2 linked regions of the Saccharomyces cerevisiae S288C genome follow. Changing the gene in region 1 together with any one later gene gives a genetic interaction. Each region holds a gene or a part of one and is shown in the gene's direction. Other genes may lie near its edges.

What was found. Genes that interact genetically often act in the same process or in processes that back each other up.
Region 2: mutations in RUP1 (region 1) and SGF29 together harm fitness more than expected from each alone (negative genetic interaction), as found in Saccharomyces cerevisiae (2 studies listed by BioGRID).

What each region holds. Positions count from the first base shown.
Region 1 is NC_001147.6:581,850-587,849, reverse strand, and holds RUP1 (Rup1p), read left to right. Parts: upstream 1-1,525; coding exon 1,526-3,541; downstream 3,542-6,000. Other genes in the region: SFL1 (Sfl1p), read right to left, coding at 1-869; SIA1 (Sia1p), read left to right, coding at 4,169-6,000. UniProt on the Saccharomyces cerevisiae protein: Modulates the activity of the RSP5 HECT ubiquitin-protein ligase through its mediation of the interaction between RSP5 and the deubiquitinase UBP2. Involved in regulation of cell wall homeostasis.
Region 2 is NC_001135.5:101,147-106,166, reverse strand, and holds SGF29 (Sgf29p), read left to right. Parts: upstream 1-1,816; coding exon 1,817-2,596; downstream 2,597-5,020. Other genes in the region: ubiquitin-binding ESCRT-I subunit protein STP22, read left to right, coding at 1-471; ILV6 (acetolactate synthase regulatory subunit), read left to right, coding at 619-1,548; GBP2 (single-stranded telomeric DNA-binding/mRNA-binding protein), read left to right, coding at 2,809-4,092; YCL012C (uncharacterized protein), read left to right, coding at 4,379-4,466, 4,534-4,850; BUD3 (Bud3p), read right to left, coding at 4,976-5,020. UniProt on the Saccharomyces cerevisiae protein: Chromatin reader component of the transcription coactivator SAGA complex. SAGA acts as a general cofactor required for essentially all RNA polymerase II transcription.

The sequences.
Region 1 (6,000 bases):
TCTTGCATTTCCGGGTTATTGGATTCCAGCGGGGCATGGTTTGCGTTTTCGTAAGTTACATGAGAGTTATTAAAGTACTCGGGGATAGAGTTATTGGCGCCCGGAATTTGCGGAACGAAATTACCAAAGGAATTGGAACTGGTGGACGGGTCTTGAATCGAAGAGGGTCTTACTCTTGCACCGGAATCTATATCGTAGTTTTGATTACTAGAATTCTTTCGACTGTTAATTGAGGAGTTATTACGGGAAGAAGCTCTTCTCTTAATGTGTTTGAGTCCCTCAATGTCACCTTTCTTGAAAATACCAGAACTATGCTTAAATTCCCAGATTTTAGTGGGGTTACTTTTCTCCTTTTCTTGGACACCGCCACCGGTATTTTCGTCGCCACTACTGTTTTTGTTGCCACTATTATCATCGTGAGTATTGCTGTCATCATTAGTATTGGCGTCGTCGCCACTATTAGCGTCGTTGCTGCTATGATCATGCGACACCTTGTGAAAGCCGTAAATGTTCAACTGTCTTACAAAGCTCGTGATATTAGTATGCTTGAAATATGTAGCCAAAGCCTTACTAAACCGTTCCACAGGCTTAATCATGAAGGATAAGCCCGAAGGGGTCCACCATATCAAGTCGTGTAGCGATTCGTCCTCCAGAATCTGGTATAGCTTATGGATGAATATCGCATTTTGTGGCGGCCTGGGCCCCACTAGCATCTTCGACCCATGTTTCTTAACATCCTCGGCACCGTCGCCGCCTTCAGCACCAGCATTAGCTATTCCAGCTGCTGCTCCACCACTACCTACATCGGTTCCAGCCGGGGCCGGTGTAGAAGCTGGAGCTGGGGCTGAGACCGTTTCCTCTTCACTCATGATTTTTTCTTCTTTTTTTCTATATAACTGATTTGTGCTGTCTTAGGACCCTCTGAATGTACCAAATAGTGTCGAATTACAATATTCTTTGTTATGTATATAGAGCTGAGTGCTTTGTGTGCGTATGCGTATGTGTGTGTGTGTGAATTTTTTCCTTGAACCTGTCACTGTGGCGATGAAGGTTCACTATGTTCTTTTTTCCCTGCTTTTCAAACTATCTTTGAAACTTTCCACTTCACACCAGTACGACTTCTTTGAAAAATTCGTAAGTCGAATAAATAATATTATTTCGCCGTGCGTTTGTGTTTCTGTTTCAACAACCCTTTGTGTGCACCTGTATAGAGTGTTTAAAAAGAGATCCTTCTTGCTAGCTGAAAAAGTTTATGTCGAATAAAAACGTCTTTTCATGTACTGAACATCTGTTTTTCCGGCGGAGATGCAGCGATGGATGCGCTTGCTGCCAAGGCATCTGTGCCGGGCGGGTGATGTCCGGGCGACCCGGCACGGAAGTAAAAGATACTATTGTTGAAAGGTACTTCTCACTACAAGGCTTAAGGACCTGTCGGAGTAGAGGAAAGAAGAGAAGAAGCCGGAAAAGGAGAGTCGTCACCTGTAAAAGGAATCTTAAGTAATTGATTTTTGTTAAGTAAGCTACGATGATGGATAATCAGGCTGTAAAGTCACTGCTAGAAATGGGTATTCCACACGAAGTAGCTGTGGACGCCCTCCAAAGAACTGGCGGTAATTTGGAGGCAGCAGTTAACTTCATCTTTTCGAACGAGCTGCCGGAGCAAGCGGAAATGGGTGAGGAGAATGATGGCAGTCAGCCTAGGATTTCTGAGAACAAAATAGTGGCTGGAACCAAGCCCTGCGATGTTCCGAACAACGGGGACCAAGACATTGATATGCCGGATGTGAGTGGTGTCGATGTTGATTATGATGACGATGAAGACATCACGGATGAACGCAGCGGTTCTAATAGCACCAGCGGATGCAGGGTTACTGCTCAGAACTACGATCGTTATTCTATATCGGAGACATCCATTCCTCCCCCCTCTTATAGTATAGTACAACACAACGAGTTCAAGTCGAACGTGGGCGATCCTACGGTTGTGTTGCCGCTACCCTTGAATAGTCTAATTGAGAGCTATTTTGGGCTGTTTGCGTTGCTCACGGCCGTGTATTTCCCACACGTGTTCTTGAAACCGGACTTTAAGGATTTGAACTATAGGGCAGACTGGTTCAAGGGCTCATCGTTTACGGAGCCCAAATACAGACTTGCATATTGCGAGGCAGAAGATGGTTCCACTACGTCGGAGATCGTGCTGGCCAGCGGACCTAATGAAGGGTTGCAACCGCATCTGCTCTGGCAGTTGCAAAAACTCATCTCCGTGGTTAACACGCGAAAGTGTGAAAGAGCCTTTGTTTCGGCCAAGGTGTTTACGTCGTCCTTGGAACCGCAATTGAGGTCCAAGCTGGCCGATTCCGAGCATCTTTATGAGGTGCTCCCAGCGTTTATCAAATCATTGGCAGTGGATTTGGAAATGTGTCCTGGGATCAGAGACCGGGAAACAAGAAGTCTCTTTATATCTTCTGCTTTGCATACTCCGAACAAGAATGAACCTCCAATGGAGACGTTTTTGTCCTTGTTTCATTTTCTTCCTGAAGAGTACGATTCTAATCTATATAAAATGTTCAACGTTTTATTGTACCCCGAAGAAGAGGAAGAAGAAGAAGACGTGATTCGTGGTGGCGAGCAAGAAGAGGCGAGATATGTGGAACCGGAGAATACTTTGAAGGAGGTGGCACCCGTATTAACAATCCTGTTCAATGAACTAGAAACAAATACAGAATCAGTGTCTCTACCCAATGGCGTGGATATACCGCTTGAGTTTTACCCACAGCTTTACACCAAACAGTGCAAAGACCAACTAATAAGACATATTATTTCTAAACGAAAGCAAGCGCGGACCAGATCCAGATGCTTGCTTCAAGAGATCAACGAGTTAAAGAGTTACCAAGGCAAAAACATATCCACTATTCTAGAGTCGACGCTGGCGTATCTACAAACAATTCCTGACGATGCTAATAATGAAGCAGCAAAGCAGATCGCATCGTTGAAAGATACATTAAATTCTGCGAGAGCCGCTAAAATGGAGGAATATAAGGACTTGGCGTCCAAACTGCATGGAGAATGGAACCTTTCACATCCAGAGACACACATAATCAACACTGCAAAGCAATTGGGACTGATCGAAAATCCCTACATCCTCACAATGGCAGCACTATCGCCATATTCATACTTTATCAGAAGCAGAAACGGTGCATGGTCATGGATACAAAGTAATACGTTGGGAACAGAATTCAAGGTGAAAAAATGTTCGTCGCCTTCTGTCGTTCAAGAAGCCATCAAGCATGGCACGAAGTACGCAAGTGAAACTCCGCTGATGTTCATATACTGTGAAGAGGGTAAAATTCCCACGGAAGAAGTAGTCGCGGAAGCGTTGAAAAGCAATAGCGGGTGCTTAAAATTTGCTGAGGATGACCAAAATTCATTAAAAACATTGCGTTCGCAATTTTTCGATGGTATGGGAGATCCTGAACAAGCCACCAACAATATTAACAATGGTAACGATAATGACAATGACGATGACATCGATTCTGATAATTAGATAGATTTCTATACACTTTCCGCCAGATAAATAACGTATGTCTCTTTAAACTATGATCTCATTTTCTCTAGTAATTTTGAACCGCATATATGTTACTAGTTTACGTTTTCAATACTATAGAAACTCCGCTTGGAGGCTAACTGCGCCCGCAATCCGAAAACTTCTATTTACGGACATAAATTAGACTCTAAGGATCAAACAAAAATAAAAAGGTTGACAGATAAAGGACAGTTTTAATTTTTATACTTTTGATCTGAAATAATGCCAAGTCCTAAACTTATTATAATATAGCCTCGAACACAAGATCATTGAGTTGCTTTTTCTAACTTCTCCTTTCTTTATTTTACTTTAGCCGCAACAATACCCCTTCTATTTTAATTCTGACTTCAATTCATTTCAACTTTACGACCTTTTTTTTCAATTTCGGTTCTGCAGTACTCTTCATTTGTCGATTAATTCGAGGTTTTCATTATTTCTTGAAATTTCTTTCAAGTTGCTTTAGTTTCATTTCCAAAAGAGATTTAAATAACTTACCTTTTTCTCATTCCTTTCGATTATTTTACTTTCCAACAATTAGCTCTTATCACATTCATTGACCTTCGCAAACAATACCCTTCAAATATTTGCATGAGATTACATTATAGAAGAAGATTTAATTTTTTAAGGAGAATACTTTTTATATTATGCATTACTTCATTGTATTTATCGAGAGATTCACTAAAGCTACATGCAAAAAATGTATTAATGGATCATAATGTAGCAGAATATCATGGCGGAATGATAGACGATATTCAAATCCTGCGGTGCTACCATTGGTACAGGCAATGTAGTTCTTTGTATGCCCCGAAATTACACCCCTCCAATACTGCTAAAAAGATCAAAGACAAAAACAGCATTCTGTGGACCAGAGTTTCTAAGAATATTACTGTAGAGACATTGTATTCACTTCAGTCTGGACCATTCTACAACAGTTACTTATATGTTCATCTGAAAGATTTCCAAAGTAATCCAAAAAACACAATAAAAGAACTAGCCATAGCAAGGGACTCAGCACTAATACCCCTACAAGTGCTGAGAGACATTAATAAGTTGGTGAAATCGAGCGACAGTTCTGTCTTTCACAATCATGTGTATCTACGAGAAAAGCCTACTTCGTCATGGTGGAAGCTGCTTTTCGGCATATCCGTTGATACAGATAACATAGCTGTGTTCGGTGAGGAGTGGGTATACAAGGGGAGCGGCATATGGTGTAAGTATATCCTTAATGATGATGATAATGACGCTCCTATAACTAATTTGGAAATATATCTAGGATCATCGTTTATTGAATCGAGGCCTTCTTGGAAAGAAGTTATCCATGAATTTCATAGAAATAACATACCTTCTCTGCCCATATCAATTACAAGAAAGCTTGAAACCAAAAACCATCATCACAAATTTTCTAATGGATTGCTAGGTTCTTTGAGAACACCCAGCAAAGACATTAATATCCAAGTCGATGCAGATTACAAAATAACATCTCCCCATATACAATTTTCGAGGGGACAAAGATCATTCAAAATTCTCCAAATAACTGATTTTCATTTCAAATGTACGGATAATAGCATGACCGTAATCAATGAAATAAAAACAGTAAATTTTATTGATAGGGTACTCGCATCAGAAAACCCTGATTTAGTTGTGATCACAGGTGATTTGTTAGACTCACATAATACTATCGACTATCAAACGTGCATTATGAAAGTTGTCCAACCAATGATTTCTAATAAAATACCCTACGCAATTTCATTGGGTGTTTCTGACGAATCCAATTTGGCCACATCGGCACAAATTAGAGACTTTATCAGGAATTTACCTTACACATTTAACAACGTTGCATCAGAAGAGGGTCATATGGCCATAGAAGTCTCATTTAAAAAGAAGCTCACGAAGAATACTCTTTTGGAAAGAGACATTGATACCGAAGACGAAACAAACCCATCAGAGGCTTTATTTTTCGTCTTTGATTCATTTGCGCCCGTCAATAATTTCCTACAAGATTATAACGACCTGATTGGGAAAATAGACTTTGGCTTGGCATTTCAATATTTTCCATTATCGGAATATAGGCCTCATGGTTTATTTCCTATTATTGGGCAGTATAATGAGAGGTCTACCTTAACAGTAGATACGCCAAGGTCTAGAGGACAAGTTTCAATGACGATCAATGGCAAACATTACAAAAGCTTCCTTGATATCCTGAGTCTTTGGAATATAAAGGGTGTCAGTTGCGGACATGAACATAATAATGACTGTTGCTTACAGTCAAAAAATGAGATGTGGTTATGTTACGGTGGGTCCGCTGGTATAGGCTTGCCGAGAATCCAAGGTATATATCCAACCGTTAGATTATTTAACTTGGATGATATTTTGGACGAAATAACTTCGTGGAAGAGGAATAGCAATCTTGTTGACGAGGT
Region 2 (5,020 bases), on another chromosome or scaffold:
ACCGTAGTCAATGAGTTATACAGAGAGGATGTGGACTATGTAGCGGACAAGATACTGACGAGACAGACCGTCATGCAAGAATCAATTGCCAGATTCCATGAAATAATCGCCATCGACAAGAACCATTTACGAGCCGTTGAGCAGGCTATTGAGCAGACCATGCACTCGCTAAACGCACAGATAGACGTCCTGACCGCAAATAGGGCCAAAGTCCAACAGTTTAGCTCAACTTCGCATGTGGATGACGAGGACGTGAACTCCATAGCAGTGGCCAAAACAGATGGACTCAATCAACTATACAACCTCGTTGCCCAGGACTACGCTCTCACGGACACCATTGAGTGCTTATCTAGGATGCTGCACCGTGGCACCATTCCCCTCGATACTTTTGTCAAGCAAGGTCGTGAATTAGCACGCCAGCAATTCCTTGTGCGATGGCACATCCAACGAATCACCTCACCGTTATCGTGACTCACTTTCTTTCGCATCGCCGAAGTGCCATAAAAAATATTTTTTTAACCTTTACCTAACAAGAACGGGGAATGGTATATATGGAAGTACATAGTTCGTATATACAGAATCTTTAGAACATCTGAGCTCACTAACCCAGTCTTTCTAATGCTGAGATCGTTATTGCAAAGCGGCCACCGCAGGGTGGTTGCTTCTTCATGTGCTACCATGGTGCGTTGCAGTTCCTCGTCGACCTCCGCGTTGGCGTACAAGCAGATGCACAGACACGCAACAAGACCTCCCTTGCCCACACTAGACACTCCTTCCTGGAATGCCAACAGTGCCGTTTCATCCATCATTTACGAAACACCAGCGCCTTCTCGTCAACCAAGAAAACAGCATGTCTTGAACTGTTTGGTGCAAAACGAACCCGGTGTCTTGTCCAGAGTCTCGGGTACGTTAGCTGCCAGAGGCTTTAACATCGATTCGTTGGTCGTGTGCAACACCGAGGTCAAAGACCTAAGTAGAATGACCATTGTTTTGCAAGGGCAAGATGGCGTAGTCGAACAAGCACGCAGACAAATCGAAGACTTGGTCCCCGTCTACGCCGTCCTAGACTATACCAATTCTGAGATCATCAAAAGAGAGCTAGTGATGGCCAGAATCTCTCTATTGGGTACTGAATACTTCGAAGACCTACTATTGCACCACCACACTTCCACCAATGCTGGCGCCGCTGACTCCCAAGAATTGGTCGCCGAAATCAGAGAAAAGCAATTCCACCCTGCCAACTTGCCCGCCAGTGAGGTATTAAGGTTGAAGCACGAGCATTTGAACGATATCACCAACTTGACCAACAACTTTGGAGGTCGTGTCGTCGACATCAGCGAAACAAGCTGTATTGTGGAGTTGTCTGCAAAACCCACACGTATCTCTGCCTTCTTGAAGTTGGTCGAGCCATTCGGTGTCCTAGAGTGTGCAAGAAGCGGTATGATGGCATTGCCAAGAACTCCTTTGAAGACAAGCACCGAGGAAGCTGCCGACGAAGACGAAAAGATCAGCGAAATCGTCGACATTTCCCAACTACCACCTGGTTAGGTTAGTCTCTCGGCCTTGCGATCGCCCTCGGGACTCTCCTCTATACATCTATATAACGTATCTATAACCATGAGCCTATTTACTCATAAGTTGCTATGATTGTACGTTTGTACGAGGTGACGCGTTACTAAACTATTTTTTTCTTTTGGTTTTCTGCTTTCCTCTTCGATTTTGCCAGATACGAAAAAGGTTAAAGACACAATACCTTGGTGGCTTCTCTAAGTGGGGGGAGTTTTTCACAGCAAAACACACGGTCACCTTTCTTATTATGGACGGATATTGGGATGTTGTAGTGTCGTCCTTGCAAGACATATACAATGCCAACGAGGTCATTCCCTTTGATGATGAGCTGCAAACAAAAAAACTAAATTTCCTTAATATGTCAAAGGATCAGCTGCAATTGCATCTCAACACTTTCCAAGAACACATGGAAAACGTCAACAGAGTGCACCGAATCCTTGACAATGTACGTTCCAATTTGTCGTTGATGTTGAATCAGTCACGAGAGGAAAAGAGTGAGGAAAATACTGAAGATGCAGAAGAAGGAGAAGGGACACGCATGGCATTGTCGCAGGGCAAGAAAGCTGTGGGGAAAGTTGGCAGATCGTACTGGACCAGCGAATACAACCCAAATGCACCTATTTTGGTGGGCTCAGAGGTTGCCTATAAGCCCAGAAGGGGCAGTGCCGACGGCGAATGGATACAGTGTGAAGTACTCAAAGTCGTAGCAGATGGTACACGATTTGAAGTGAGAGATCCTGAACCTGATGAATTGGGCAACTCAGGCAAGGTGTATAAATGTAATCGGAAAGAACTACTGTTGATCCCGCCAGGCTTTCCCACTAAGAACTACCCGCCAGGTACTAAGGTTCTGGCAAGATATCCTGAAACGACCACTTTTTATCCTGCAATTGTCATCGGAACCAAGAGGGACGGCACTTGCAGGCTTCGATTTGATGGTGAAGAGGAAGTGGACAAAGAGACGGAAGTGACTCGCCGTCTAGTGCTGCCTTCGCCAACGGCTTTGGCAAACCTAGCAAGGAAATAGCAATGGTGGTTAACATTTACTACATATCATAAGATCTTCTCATGGCATTTTGTCATTATTTTGGTATCGTCGGAAGTGATGTATTCACTTGAAGGTGAAAAAAATTGAAAAAAAATGAAAGCTTGGATGAAATCAATTATATTGAGGATTTCCCATTAGAAATAAGCTATGGGCGAAAAGGAAACAAACATCAGCTGGATTTTTTCGCCAAGATGGAGAGAGAGCTAGGGATGTATGGAAATGATAGGAGTAGATCAAGATCACCTGTACGTCGTCGTTTGAGCGACGACAGAGACAGGTACGATGATTATAACGATAGTAGCAGTAATAATGGTAATGGCAGTCGTCGTCAGAGACGCGACCGAGGCTCCCGTTTCAATGATCGGTACGATCAGAGTTATGGTGGCAGCCGCTACCACGATGATAGGAACTGGCCCCCTCGCCGAGGAGGCCGTGGCAGAGGAGGAAGCAGATCATTCAGAGGGGGACGCGGTGGCGGTAGGGGTCGTACTTTAGGTCCAATTGTTGAAAGAGACTTAGAAAGGCAATTTGACGCGACCAAGAGAAATTTTGAAAATAGTATCTTCGTGAGAAACTTGACTTTTGATTGTACCCCTGAAGACCTTAAGGAATTGTTTGGTACAGTGGGCGAAGTTGTGGAGGCTGACATTATCACATCAAAGGGCCATCACCGTGGTATGGGGACTGTGGAATTTACCAAAAACGAATCTGTCCAAGATGCCATATCGAAGTTTGATGGTGCCCTCTTTATGGACCGGAAACTAATGGTAAGACAGGATAATCCTCCTCCTGAAGCTGCCAAGGAATTTTCTAAGAAAGCTACTAGGGAAGAAATAGATAATGGGTTTGAAGTGTTCATCATCAATTTACCGTACTCTATGAATTGGCAATCCTTAAAAGATATGTTTAAAGAATGTGGTCATGTCTTGCGTGCCGATGTAGAATTGGATTTCAACGGATTTTCAAGAGGATTCGGTTCTGTCATTTATCCTACTGAGGATGAAATGATTAGAGCTATCGATACATTCAACGGCATGGAAGTAGAAGGTAGAGTTTTGGAAGTTAGAGAAGGGCGTTTCAACAAGAGAAAGAACAATGATCGTTATAATCAAAGGCGTGAGGACCTTGAAGATACCAGAGGTACTGAACCAGGTCTTGCGCAGGATGCCGCTGTCCACATTGATGAAACTGCAGCAAAATTTACTGAAGGTGTCAATCCAGGAGGGGATAGAAACTGTTTCATTTATTGTAGTAATTTACCATTCTCAACAGCAAGAAGCGATTTATTCGACTTGTTTGGGCCTATCGGCAAAATCAATAACGCGGAATTGAAACCACAGGAAAATGGTCAACCAACTGGTGTTGCTGTTGTAGAATATGAAAATTTAGTAGATGCAGATTTTTGTATTCAAAAATTAAATAATTATAATTATGGTGGTTGTAGTTTACAGATCTCTTATGCTAGACGTGATTAATTCCTAAGCACCAACCGAACCATGACCTGTGTACTTTATGATAACGTATAAATAATAAGGAAGCGGGCGGGTTATAAATAACTTTAATAGTTATATTTATCATTTTGACCAAAAAGAATAACCTTATTTAATCCCTGTAAAAGAGCACCACTTCCAGCGATGAGATGCGAAAAGCGAAGAAAAAAAAAAAAAAAAAAAGGGTATTCTAAACTGAATATATAAAAACTGCCACCAATTAAGAGAAGAAAAGCTACACAATTAATTTCCAAAAATTGCAAATACGAGTATGAAGAGTTTGTTCTATCTCAAATTGCTCCTCTGGGTTGTGCTATTGTCTTTATGCCTTCTTATGGCACACCGGAAAACCAAAGTTGGTATGTATATTTAAGCATTTGAAAATGCAAAGTGCAAACCGTATCTAAATACTAACAGCTGTAATAGCCGACAAATTTCGTGCACTGCGTTCAAGAATACAATTACGTTTTAATAGACATATACGTTTAAATGATTCCTTTGCTGATGACCTAGAAAACGGTCTCCATTCCAGGAATTTCGATATTATCTCGGAGAATAGCAACGACGTAAGAGGTGGTTTGGATGATGTCTCCAAGAATGAGATTAAACAAATTATGGAAAACGATAATGTAGATTTCGATAAGGCTAGACTATTATATATGGAAAGAAAGTTCGGCCAAAATGGTATTGCCCCCGATGGAACCCCTATTGATCCAAAAGCATTCACCTTTGATAGTAGGTAAAGGTATCTAATATATTCAGTTTTACTTAAGTGGGAGGTTTTTCCCCCTTTTTCTTATTTGTCCATATTTTATGTAAATGTATACATTGCATTAAATTAAAAAGAAAAAAAAAATCAATAAAACACTCAATAAAATTTCAGTTTCTCTGGGCCACCAACAGCGCAGTTCTG